Kluyveromyces lactis: one gene and its partners. Each later gene encodes a partner of the first gene's protein in a complex. Links are inferred from orthologs where the notes say so. Each region holds a gene or a part of one and is shown on either strand. Other genes may lie near its edges.

Region 1 (3,384 bases):
CCCTCTAAAAAGACCAGCCGAAACTTGATCTTTGGTTATCTTCTTCTCTATTTGAGTCTATATTGATGAGATACGTTAATAAATCGTAAAACCTTTAAATATACTCAAAAGTTTTACTATGAACTAGCGATATGATGAAGAAAAAATATGGTATGTGCAAAAAAAGAATGGTTCCTAGCGGGATCGAACCGCTGATCCCCGCGTTATTAGCACGGTGCCTTAACCAACTGGGCCAAGGAACCAATTTGTGGTTGTGGGAGCGAAAAAGGCAATCCATGACGAAAATTGTGGATCACGTGCCTGGAGCCATTAATAAAACCTAGCTGAACACGGTTTATCATGAAAAACCTTTGATTAATGACACCGATGTTGAAGATGCTCTTAATACTACAAGATGCTGTTCGATCGTAATGACAAGAACCGTACAATATGGGTTTGAGTTTAGATTTGTCGAGAAGAAAATGCTTGAATTGCTAATTATATGTACATATTTCCTACATCTATAACTGAGTCCATGAGTAGAAAAATGAGCTCTTGGGTATCGTCAATCGCATTTCTTGCAGCGTTACGCAAACTTGATAGGTTCGAAGATCAAATGGTGCCTTCATTGTGGATGAATTGTAGTTTGCTGATTGTATAGCAGAGTCTTCTGTGAATCTGACAGAAATCGCACCTCTCTCAGTGATAAGCTCTTGGTTTGCCAAGTTTTCCCATACATTCTTCATGTCGTGTTTAGTCCACATTTTGAACCTATCAGCGAAGGTGGTCTTATGAATCTTCCCCAATTTAGAAAATTCTTCATGTACCAAAGTCAAATTGATATGTTCGTCATTCTTTAAAGCCACTCTACAAGCAGATATCAAAATAGCTAACTCTAAATCAGATAGTGACAAGATCTTAGCTGAAATTGAATCTAAGAGTTGATTCGCCAAGTACTTTTTTATTTTGCTGCATGTTTTGATGCTCTCAACTAGTTCAGAATATGTTTTAGACAAGGCAACTGTGGGAAATATGGCGTTTTGTAATAGTTGTATATCTTTGAAGTTCTCGTAGTTCTGACGCAGAATACGAGAAATCTCTGAATCGTCATTTTTTAAAGTCTCATCCAAGAACTGGTTCCATCGAAGCTGATCAGGAATTGTTGAATCATCCACCTCTAAGAGCTCTTTGAATACATGCTTGAATTGATCATAATCCGAGATTGATGGCATATATATGATTCGCTGAGAAAACCGGGATTTCACTCTGTTTTCAAGAAATTGCATGATTGCCAACTTTGTAGTAAGACCAAGAACACAAACTGGTATCCTTGAAGTCTCTACTAGGTCAAATAAATTATACAAAAGTGTCTGTCTCACTGGTCCAGCAAATTTGTCAATTTCATCAAATATGAACACTAGCGTTACGTGCTCTGATTTTTCTTTCTGTGAGTGTACACCCTTTAGAGGAGTCACAGTAAATGAGTCCAACAATCTTAGAATGTTATCAAAGACTTCTGTCAAAGTACCTTCAGATAAACCTAATTCTTCTGCTTTAACTTTTTTTGATGAATTAACGTTTCTGTTTGCAAGTTCGAATTCTAATTGTTCAGCAATACTGTTAATTGCAGAGTTTTCCGAATGTAAAGAGCCATTTAAGTTGATAACAATGAATTGTTCGTTGTGTGTCGATCTTAAAGCCTCCAAATGATGCTTTATTATCATATCTTTATAATTGGATCGAGGACCGATGAGTATGGCCGAATGACTTTCTTTTTGAATGATGCATTGTCGAAGAAGCTTGTCAACTTGAGTTGAAGTGTTTTCCAAAAAGTCGGGTATCTTAGTTTCCTTAAACCCAAGAGTGCCATTTAGTTTTCTTGTCAAGTAGTGCTTCATTCTCTTAAATGTCTTTGTTTCTGGTGTCTTATTTATACCAAACAAAGGAATTGGTTGTGCTGCAGTATCTTCAGTACGTGTTTTTTTGGTAACAACTGCAGTATCAAGTTCAGAGTCGTTAGATGCACCAATAGAAGATCTTTTGACAGGGCGTTGTAATTTAATCTTCTTAATCTTCCCATCAAGCTTAACATCGTCTATGATCTCATCTGCGTTCACTTTGTGTACCGACTTTCTGATGGGGCCAAACTCGCTTTCAAGGTCATCCATTCGTACTAATAAATTGAATTGTGGATTAATACTAACTGTAATCGAATGAGATTAGTTTGACAGTGTTAGAACATGGACTTTGGTTTATGAATTATCTAAGGTACCGTTCTACTACTTTGGATGTATTCATTGTTGTTGATTTAGTTTTAAGGTTATTAAATGTTTAGTAAGGTTACCCGAAAATAATGAATTATTACTAGTCAGGTATAGTGAATTGGATGCACCATAGATAAGAACAACGGAACTTCTTCCAATACTTGATTCAAAACATTATCTTCCGAACTGGTAGCAACAGGACATAAAAGACGTGACTCATACGAATTAATCCCATTTAAACAATGTCTAAGTAATAATCATGTCAGAACACACACTCTTTGTTCGCAATGACTTTATCTTGTCTTTCTTTACATCTGTGGCACGAAATTGATAACAATATGACAAAAAAGAATAAACAAAGATAGGACCGACAGAAAAGGGAAAATCTTTGTTATTGGTAACTCTGACACCTTCTCATCCAAACTTACATTTTGTCTCGTTTGTCAACTACCCCCTTGTGTTTAATCAGGTATGGAAGGAGTGACGTTGACCACACATGAATTATGCAGACGCTGTGACTTTTAGTATAAGAGTTGTGAGATATTACTTCTTATTCGAGTATATATGTACGAATATATATATATATATATATTGAACTAGGTCAACTAGAACATTTAAATAAATTAATAATTAATACTACTATTATTATTACTCTTATCATTCTTATTCTTATTATGTTTGGGAGAGAAAAAGAATGGTTTTGTAAATGGTAACATGGTGATGAAATTTAGAGAAAACAAAAAAGGATCCATATGGTTTTAGACGCTTTACTCAGTTCCTTCGTTTGATTAACGTTAAGGATGGTATAATATAATGGTAGGGATAGATTTTCCACACTGGAACGGGACACGATATAATATAGTTTATGATCTGAGCGAAATAAATGAAATGAAAAAAAGAGACAACAAAAAAGGCAAACGGAACATGGAAAATATAAGGAGTCAAACGAGCGATGTTACAGATAGTGACAGTGATAATGGCAATAATAATAACGAATAATAATAGAAAAGAGAAAAATTTGGAAAATCTGAAAATACCGAAAACAATAAATAACCAGGGTGACGAGAAATCCCCCTTATATTGTGTCTGCAATGGAAAAAAATGGGTTTTAGGCTCTATCTTCCGTTAGGGAATAAACTGG
Region 2 (3,162 bases), about 1.2 Mb from region 1:
GTTACTACCATTTATTTCTTCTTCTGATACTGAATCATCAGCAACAGCGCTGTCAGATTCTGAAATCTCTGAGGAATTTCCATCAAAGATTTCATCGGTTTCGGTTTGACCTCTTCGTACGAAATCTTCTATTTCTTCTTCATTATCGCTACTGTCGTCGCTGCAAGAAATGTCCTGGTAGTCTGATTCCTCGAAGTGATCGTCATAGCTATCTGCGTTGAAGTCAGTCTTTTTGACCTGAAGCTTATCCTTAGATTTGGTAATTACAGATCTATCATTTTGATCAGATGATCCCTTATTTACATTCATACTCAATGAAAGCTGCTGCTTTCTGCTTGCTGGTATGTCAAATATCTGAATCTATGGTTGTTTCTCTCTACGTATCAATTTCAATGTCTATAAAAAATACCTAAATTTGAAGAAGCATTCCATAGAGTAAAATGAGATCGAAAAAAAAAGAACGGCATGCAACAATCATATAACTACTACAAATGCCGAGTTTATTCCACAACATCACTGAAATATTCTGAAATATCAAAATCAACACTGCCAGCCACTAGTAATATGTAATCCCAAGTGACGTTAACTTTAAACTTAAGTCTTTCGTGAAGATACCCCAATTTGTGCATGTTCAGACCGGTAAGAAGTTGAGAAGTAATCAATTCGGACACGTTTTCGTAGACTTCCACATTTGCTTTCATATGAACATCTCTTTGAAAGAAATCTGGAGACAATTCCTTCGAAACTCTGACTGGGTATATCGATTGGAAAATTGCCAGCATTCTCTCAAGAGAAAAGCCTGATGGTTGAAGGTATCTCGGGTTATTCGCTGGTTTGCTTCTTCTCCCATAAGATGATCTACCCCCCCTTAGATGACTCTTCTTGGAGAAGACTTTAGAGTCGTACCGATGATTCAAATATGATGCCAAATATGCGGCTATTAGAAGATATTTTGCCATGAAACAAAGAGAATGGCTTGAATAACCAACAGACCCGGTACCACTTAGTGAATTTTGATCCGAACGGCTGGTTTGTGGTATTAGTCTTTCGTTAGGTTTATTGAATAGCTCCAGGTTAGATTTGTATAACTGTACTGTATTTTTAATGTTCTCTTGATTTAAAGATCGTACAAAGCACCTCCATTTAATTCTCATTATGTCTATCAGTGCAGTGGGGTCATAACCTGTATATACAATTAATGATTCTATCAGGAAATGGATATATTTTTCGAAGATTTCACTCCTGAATTGTTCTGTATTTCCGCATCCTATCTCATCCATTTTTTCCAATAACAGCGGGTCATCCGAGAAACCTGGTGTTTGTGATACAATATATTCAATCTCCAGTGGTTTATATTTGGGGAAGAAGATCGTGGGAACCTTGAACGTTGAGTAATTGGACAAGAATGAGGATTTGGAGAACGAGATTATTAACCGAAGTTGAATCATCGCTTGTGGAAGAATAGATCCAGGTAATGCCATGAGTTGCGTAGGTGTTTCCAAGTTCACCTGTGAATTATCATCCAGCCCATCGAGTATAACATAAAGGTTAACGCGTTCTACCAAGTGATTAAATCGGATAAACAATTTATTGATAAATTTCTGCAAAAGATATACGTCCTCGGCTTCAAATGGATCAAGATCAGTGGTTTCCACACTAGGAAATTGTTTCAGTAGCAATTGACGCAGACATGTAGCCAACCGCTGACAGGTGGATTTGCTATATATCAGATCTTTCGCTGGTAGTAAAATGTTCATGATTTCTTCATTGCAAGCAAAAAACTTCTTGAGGGTATGTGTCTTACCACTTCCATGCGGCCCTTCTATGAACAAGATTGGCGGGCTCAGTTTTGGATCGGCATCGACAAACGCTTCCAAAAAATCTAGTTGTTCTTCTCTATATCTAACATCAGGTCGTACCATTCTGGGTCACTTGATTCGCAGTAAATAACACATAGTGCGTCTTCATTCAGGTGGGAAGAATTCAACCATGCTAAGTTCAGAACAATTTCCTTTATGTGTATATATATTTTTTATTTTCAGATCTATTTTAACACATAAACACTCATAAATGTTAAATGTAAACACATCAGCAGACTAAAAGATAATACAACAGATGCCAGGGACTTGAACCTATAAGAAATCATTCAAAGTTTCTTTCAATGTTCTAAAGTCAAAGCTTTCCGCCAAGTTCTTGAAAATTTGTAACTGTGCCATGAAAGATTCCTTAGATACGGCAAGTTCCCATTTTCCTGAACATGGACAATAAGGTGACATTGCATCCTCTTTGATCTTATGACATTTATTGCACTTAACATCTTGGGTAATAAACGATGCAACTTGGGCTTGAAGTCGTTCGATCACATGCTCTTCAATGAGATTTTTATTCAAGGATCTGTTGCAGCTCTGGCATATGAAGACTCGTTCCATACTTTCTCTGCAAATATCAATATCTGATATATAAGAACAATGCTCACATATGAAGCTAGGGATCACAAAAGATGTACTTGGATCCTTGAATTCAGCTAATCTGTCGAATTCGCGTATTTCAAATGTCTTTAGGAGTTCTTTCCTTAGCGCCCTTCCTTCTAATAAATGATTACTGGAAAGTGATAAAATATGTGATAAGTATTTGACCAACTCAAGAAGCGGATTTTTCACAACTAGATGCGACCCAGGAATTGTGGGAGATAGATAATCCTTGCCGAAGTTAGGATCAAGAATATATTCCTGTTGGTTCTTGTAAAGTTTCTCTGCTCTTTTGATGAGAGCTTTTGAAAAATTATGGGTAAAACCGCCTAGAGAGTCAGTTTGACTATCTACGTCACTATCAGCCAGTGTATTCTTTGGTAATTGGGTTAATCTTTGTGTGGATGCATTTCGCTCATGATAGGCTTCCTTTGTCTTAACCATACTATCCAGTATGACTACTAACCAATCATCAAACTCTTGCTGATAAATTGCAGGTAAGAAATCCTTTATATGCCAATGAGAATAAGCCTGGAAACTCTGAACTTCTTTATCTTCAATCTGTAGACATGCTCTACCACCATAATTATACTTATCCATCCAAATCAGGACATCCCAATATCTATCAATTTTCAAGTCTAGATAGGCAAACATTGGTTTAGATCTGATCGCTTTCATGAGATACTGCCCATAG
Region 3 (3,952 bases), on another chromosome or scaffold:
AAAATGCATCCTTTATTATATCTTTCTATCTTATAATTAAATAGTTGAAAAAGCAGTTTCATATTCTACTTAACCGCTACGCTACATGACAACCTAAGTAGCAATTATAATAGCAGCAAAGGCGTCTTGAAGGCATATACTAAAATGTCTTCAACATTTCATCTTCATGCAAGCATTGCTCCGCATCTTCCATGGAAATATTTAATTTGATCGTCGAGAGCCTCTCATTCTTCAAATATTGCCTTACTACAACACCTGCATCCAATAATTGCAATAAAATATAGTCCCAAGACACGGCCCTTAACTGTTCCTTTGTATCAACAGAATCATTTTGGAATAAAATCCGTTTCAACTCTAAAATGTATTTGTTATTCCCATTGACATCAATGAGGAGCCTCATTTCTTCTACGATATCACCAAGTTGTACGTCAGTTTGCTTCTTCTTAATTAAATTGATTAATGCGTATAGGAAAAGTTTTCCGCTAAATGACAGACCAGATATGAATTGTTGTTCCGGAGAGGTCGAACTTTCGTTTAATGCCTTGGTAATATGCTTAATTTCTACACTCTGTAATTCTTCATTTCCTGTACCATTGCCACTAGTATCTTTTTTGGAATTGACTAGTCGCTCATATCTAAGCCTCTTTAAGTAATCATTTTCCGCATATTCTACCGCTCTTTTGACCACCTTTAAAGCTCTCCGCACATCACCACTGACACTAGCAATTTTTCTTGATGCAATCTCAATGGCATCAGGATTAATCCTAAGTTTTAGTCGTTTATAGTTAGAGAAGTCTTTTCGCTTTTCTTCTTCATCAGTTTCTATAGTACTACTATCCGGAGAGATCATGTACGAACTCCCTGTCTCCGGGTCGACATAGAAACTAGATTCGTTCAAATATTTAAGTCTCAAATTGATGATTGTTCTAAGCTCTTCATGCGTGTAACCAGTGAACATAATTCTAGTAAAACCAATTCTGGACGAAATCTTGTTACCAAGATGGCGTTCGGGGAGATCTAAGGTGTTTGCGACAGCTACAACAATAAGTTTCGCATTTGAATAGGTAGCCCAGTTAAAGAAGTTGTACATTACATCTTGGCTCTTGCTAACTAATGCATCAAGCTCATCCAATAACACAACGATAGGACGTTTTTTCGTAGCTGGAACTTTGTTAAAATAAAACTCCAGAGATTCCATGGCAGCTCCAGATGTAAGCTTTTCTCCAGATATTTTTTGCCAAAAGACTTCATAACTATCACTTGCTTTGACAATCTTTAAACCATTGATTTCAATGTATTGGAATCTTGGAAGTTCTTTTTGGTCTGCAGATGTCATTAAATCCTTAACTACCTCTCGAACCGTCAAAGTTTTACCAACGCCTGGCGTCCCGGCAATGTAAATACTGGTGCTAGTGCCTGCTTCAATTGCACTGTAAAGTGAGAGGTATATACTTGCAAATTCATTTTCTCTTGCCGGAAGATAATTGTCGAAATCAGCAGCTTTGACAATTTCTTCTTTGCTATTCCTTGAGTTCAATTGCTTCTTCACCTTAGAAAAAATAGTCTCCATTTTGCCTTTAGCAGAAACTGTTCTGAATCTCTCCTCTAATGCAGCTATATCCAAATCATTATTATGCCTTTGGAAAATATCGTTCAAGTCAGGAATATCCTTCGGATTCTTATACCGTTTGGAAAATGGAGTATATGCCTTTTTAGCGCGCACTATATTATTCTTAAAGAACTTTCTAGGAGATGAATGAACTGCTGATGGCTGCAATGGAGTCTGTGATTTTACTGGTGAAATGGGTATATCTGGTTTAATAGATCTCACCTTTTTCTTGGCAGGTTCTACAATTGCAAGCTCTTCTGCAGACTGGTAATCTTCAAACTCTTCATCACTGTCCGAAGAGGATGCGTTTGCAAACTCTTCTTTACTTTCGTGATATTCAGATAAATCCGATTCATTATCTGATATAGCTTCCTTTTCGTTAACAATAGTAGATGCAATGCGTTGGACTTCAGCGTTGGTTTTGCTCACTGTTTGTTGAAAGCTTTTTTTGCTTGGTGTGTTGTCGGACTGCAATTTCGTCGCCACTACCTTCTCTCGTGCGTGGACCTTGGATTTATTTAAAGGTTTTGGAAGCTTGGGTAAAGTAATATCACGCAAATACTCCAGAGACACCTTAGGATTCGAGGAACGTATTTTTTCTTCAAAGAAATGTATATCTAAATCCGCCAGATTAGTTCCTGAAGGCAAGCATGCAGATCGACATAAAAACATATTAGAATCCATTTTCCCTTCATTGACAGAGTCTAAATACTCCTTTTCATTTTTAATATTAGCTACAAATTGCAAGTCCCGTAGATAAATCTCTGAAAGCTCAGCTGTCAAATACAATTCGTTCTTTATCGATTGTGACGCGAAGGTTTCCTCAAAAAATTTGTCACCTTTTTCCTTATTAGTCTCATAAAACTCTCCATCAAGCTGTTTATATCTTTCCGCAGCATTGATCTCGTACCAACTCAAATAGTTCAAACACCAGAGTTCTACGTAATTGCTTGTATTCAATCGCACCTCATGGATCATATACGCTGATAACTCGTCTGCACCCTCTACCTTGCACACAATCGTAACACCAGGATAAAGTCTGACTCCATCGTATCGTACCAAATTAATCACTTCATGTTCTGTAGCATCTCCTCTTCTTCTTCGCCTAGGAGTTTCAGCAATGAGATTCCCCTTCAAGTCTGTCTTCTGTATTTCCCATTGAACTTCAAACTCAGCTAACGTTGACGCCATGCCTAATAAACTCGCTACCACGGAATAAAAAGGAAAAATAATCAGATAACCGTTAAAATGCAGTAATTCCTTCCTAAACTAGTAGTAGTTACTTGCTGGCCAAGTATGTTGAAATGACAGCTACCTGTTTCCGTAGCATTCTTTTATCTCATAGCATATTGGTTGTTACACGGTTCCTCTGTTTACTGAATTAAGATCGATCTTGAAACATCAAATACGTGTAAAATGATACATAGTTTTCCCATTCCTGACGTCTAATTTTAAACCTTGAACCCTGGCAGAAACAGATCAAGAGATTTATCTCAAGAGTGATGACATGATAAACAGAATGAATTCTGCCAGTCAATTAACGAAGGTGAAGCAGATAAACACAGAAGAATAAAGGCAGCTGGCCTGCTGGAAAAAAAATTGAACAATTTCCCACGTTGATAGAGTCATACATAAGAAGCTTTTAGGAGCTTTATAAAAAGAAATGAGGTTTGGAAGTGTCTTGGCGAGGAATATATCGTTATGGAAATACTTAAAAGTGACCCTAGGACACCTCAACGCATTTGATAAGATGATGTTATGGCTGCGAGTTATAACTTCAGTGGGAATTATCGTTTTTGTCCTTGTTTTGACTGCTATTTCTGCCGCATCACCAAATTCGTTATATTTAGGACGATTGGACACTTCAAATGTTAACATTTTGCAGGGACTATTTGATAAGCTCAGCAGTTCTGTTGTCAGTGCAAAACTGTCTGATATTAATAACGGAGCAGGACTCACAACAGCAGAGATTCTTTTACTCACGCGGTATGTAGACTCACAGGTCCACGACGTGCCCGATTATATAAAGACAGGAGTTTACGGATGGTGCAGCATGAAACATGCTTCTCAAGAATTATGGCAGCCTGACGGTACTTGGAAGGAGGAACATAACTCTACAAAGGCTATGACTTGTCACAGGGAAGGAGCGCAATACTTATTGAACTATAGAAAGCTATTAGATGACCTAGGTTTGGGAATAGTGTTAAGTTACGCATACGGATATACTTACAACGATGGTGTTTTGGATCACGACAATGCAGAAAGTGCAAAATACAACAAATTTTTGGCTGCTTTGTCGAGAAGAAAAGTCAACATGGTCAATCTACTTTACGTCGTGGCAGT

Evidence for each region. Proteins that work in one complex are often made in the same cells at the same time.
Region 2: ORC4 (region 1) and ORC5 share a complex: the UniProt entries of both Saccharomyces cerevisiae proteins name them as parts of the origin recognition complex. The link is inferred for Kluyveromyces lactis from reciprocal best matches to the Saccharomyces cerevisiae genes ORC4 and ORC5.
Region 3: ORC4 (region 1) and ORC1 share a complex: the UniProt entries of both Saccharomyces cerevisiae proteins name them as parts of the origin recognition complex. The link is inferred for Kluyveromyces lactis from reciprocal best matches to the Saccharomyces cerevisiae genes ORC4 and ORC1.

Annotation. Positions count from the first base shown.
Region 1 is NC_006039.1:1,481,504-1,484,887, forward strand, and holds ORC4 (origin recognition complex subunit 4), read right to left. Parts: upstream 2,148-3,384; coding exon 501-2,147; downstream 1-500. UniProt on the Saccharomyces cerevisiae protein: Component of the origin recognition complex (ORC) that binds origins of replication. It has a role in both chromosomal replication and mating type transcriptional silencing. Binds to the ARS consensus sequence (ACS) of origins of replication.
Region 2 is NC_006039.1:234,802-237,963, reverse strand, and holds ORC5 (origin recognition complex subunit 5), read right to left. Parts: upstream 1,923-3,162; coding exon 501-1,922; downstream 1-500. Other genes in the region: U5 snRNP complex subunit LIN1, read right to left, coding at 1-309; POL2 (DNA polymerase epsilon catalytic subunit), read right to left, coding at 2,133-3,162. UniProt on the Saccharomyces cerevisiae protein: Component of the origin recognition complex (ORC) that binds origins of replication. It has a role in both chromosomal replication and mating type transcriptional silencing. Binds to the ARS consensus sequence (ACS) of origins of replication.
Region 3 is NC_006038.1:453,565-457,516, reverse strand, and holds ORC1 (origin recognition complex subunit 1), read right to left. Parts: upstream 2,801-3,952; coding exon 140-2,800; downstream 1-139. Other genes in the region: ECM7 (Ecm7p), read left to right, coding at 3,273-3,952. UniProt on the Saccharomyces cerevisiae protein: Component of the origin recognition complex (ORC) that binds origins of replication. It has a role in both chromosomal replication and mating type transcriptional silencing. Binds to the ARS consensus sequence (ACS) of origins of replication.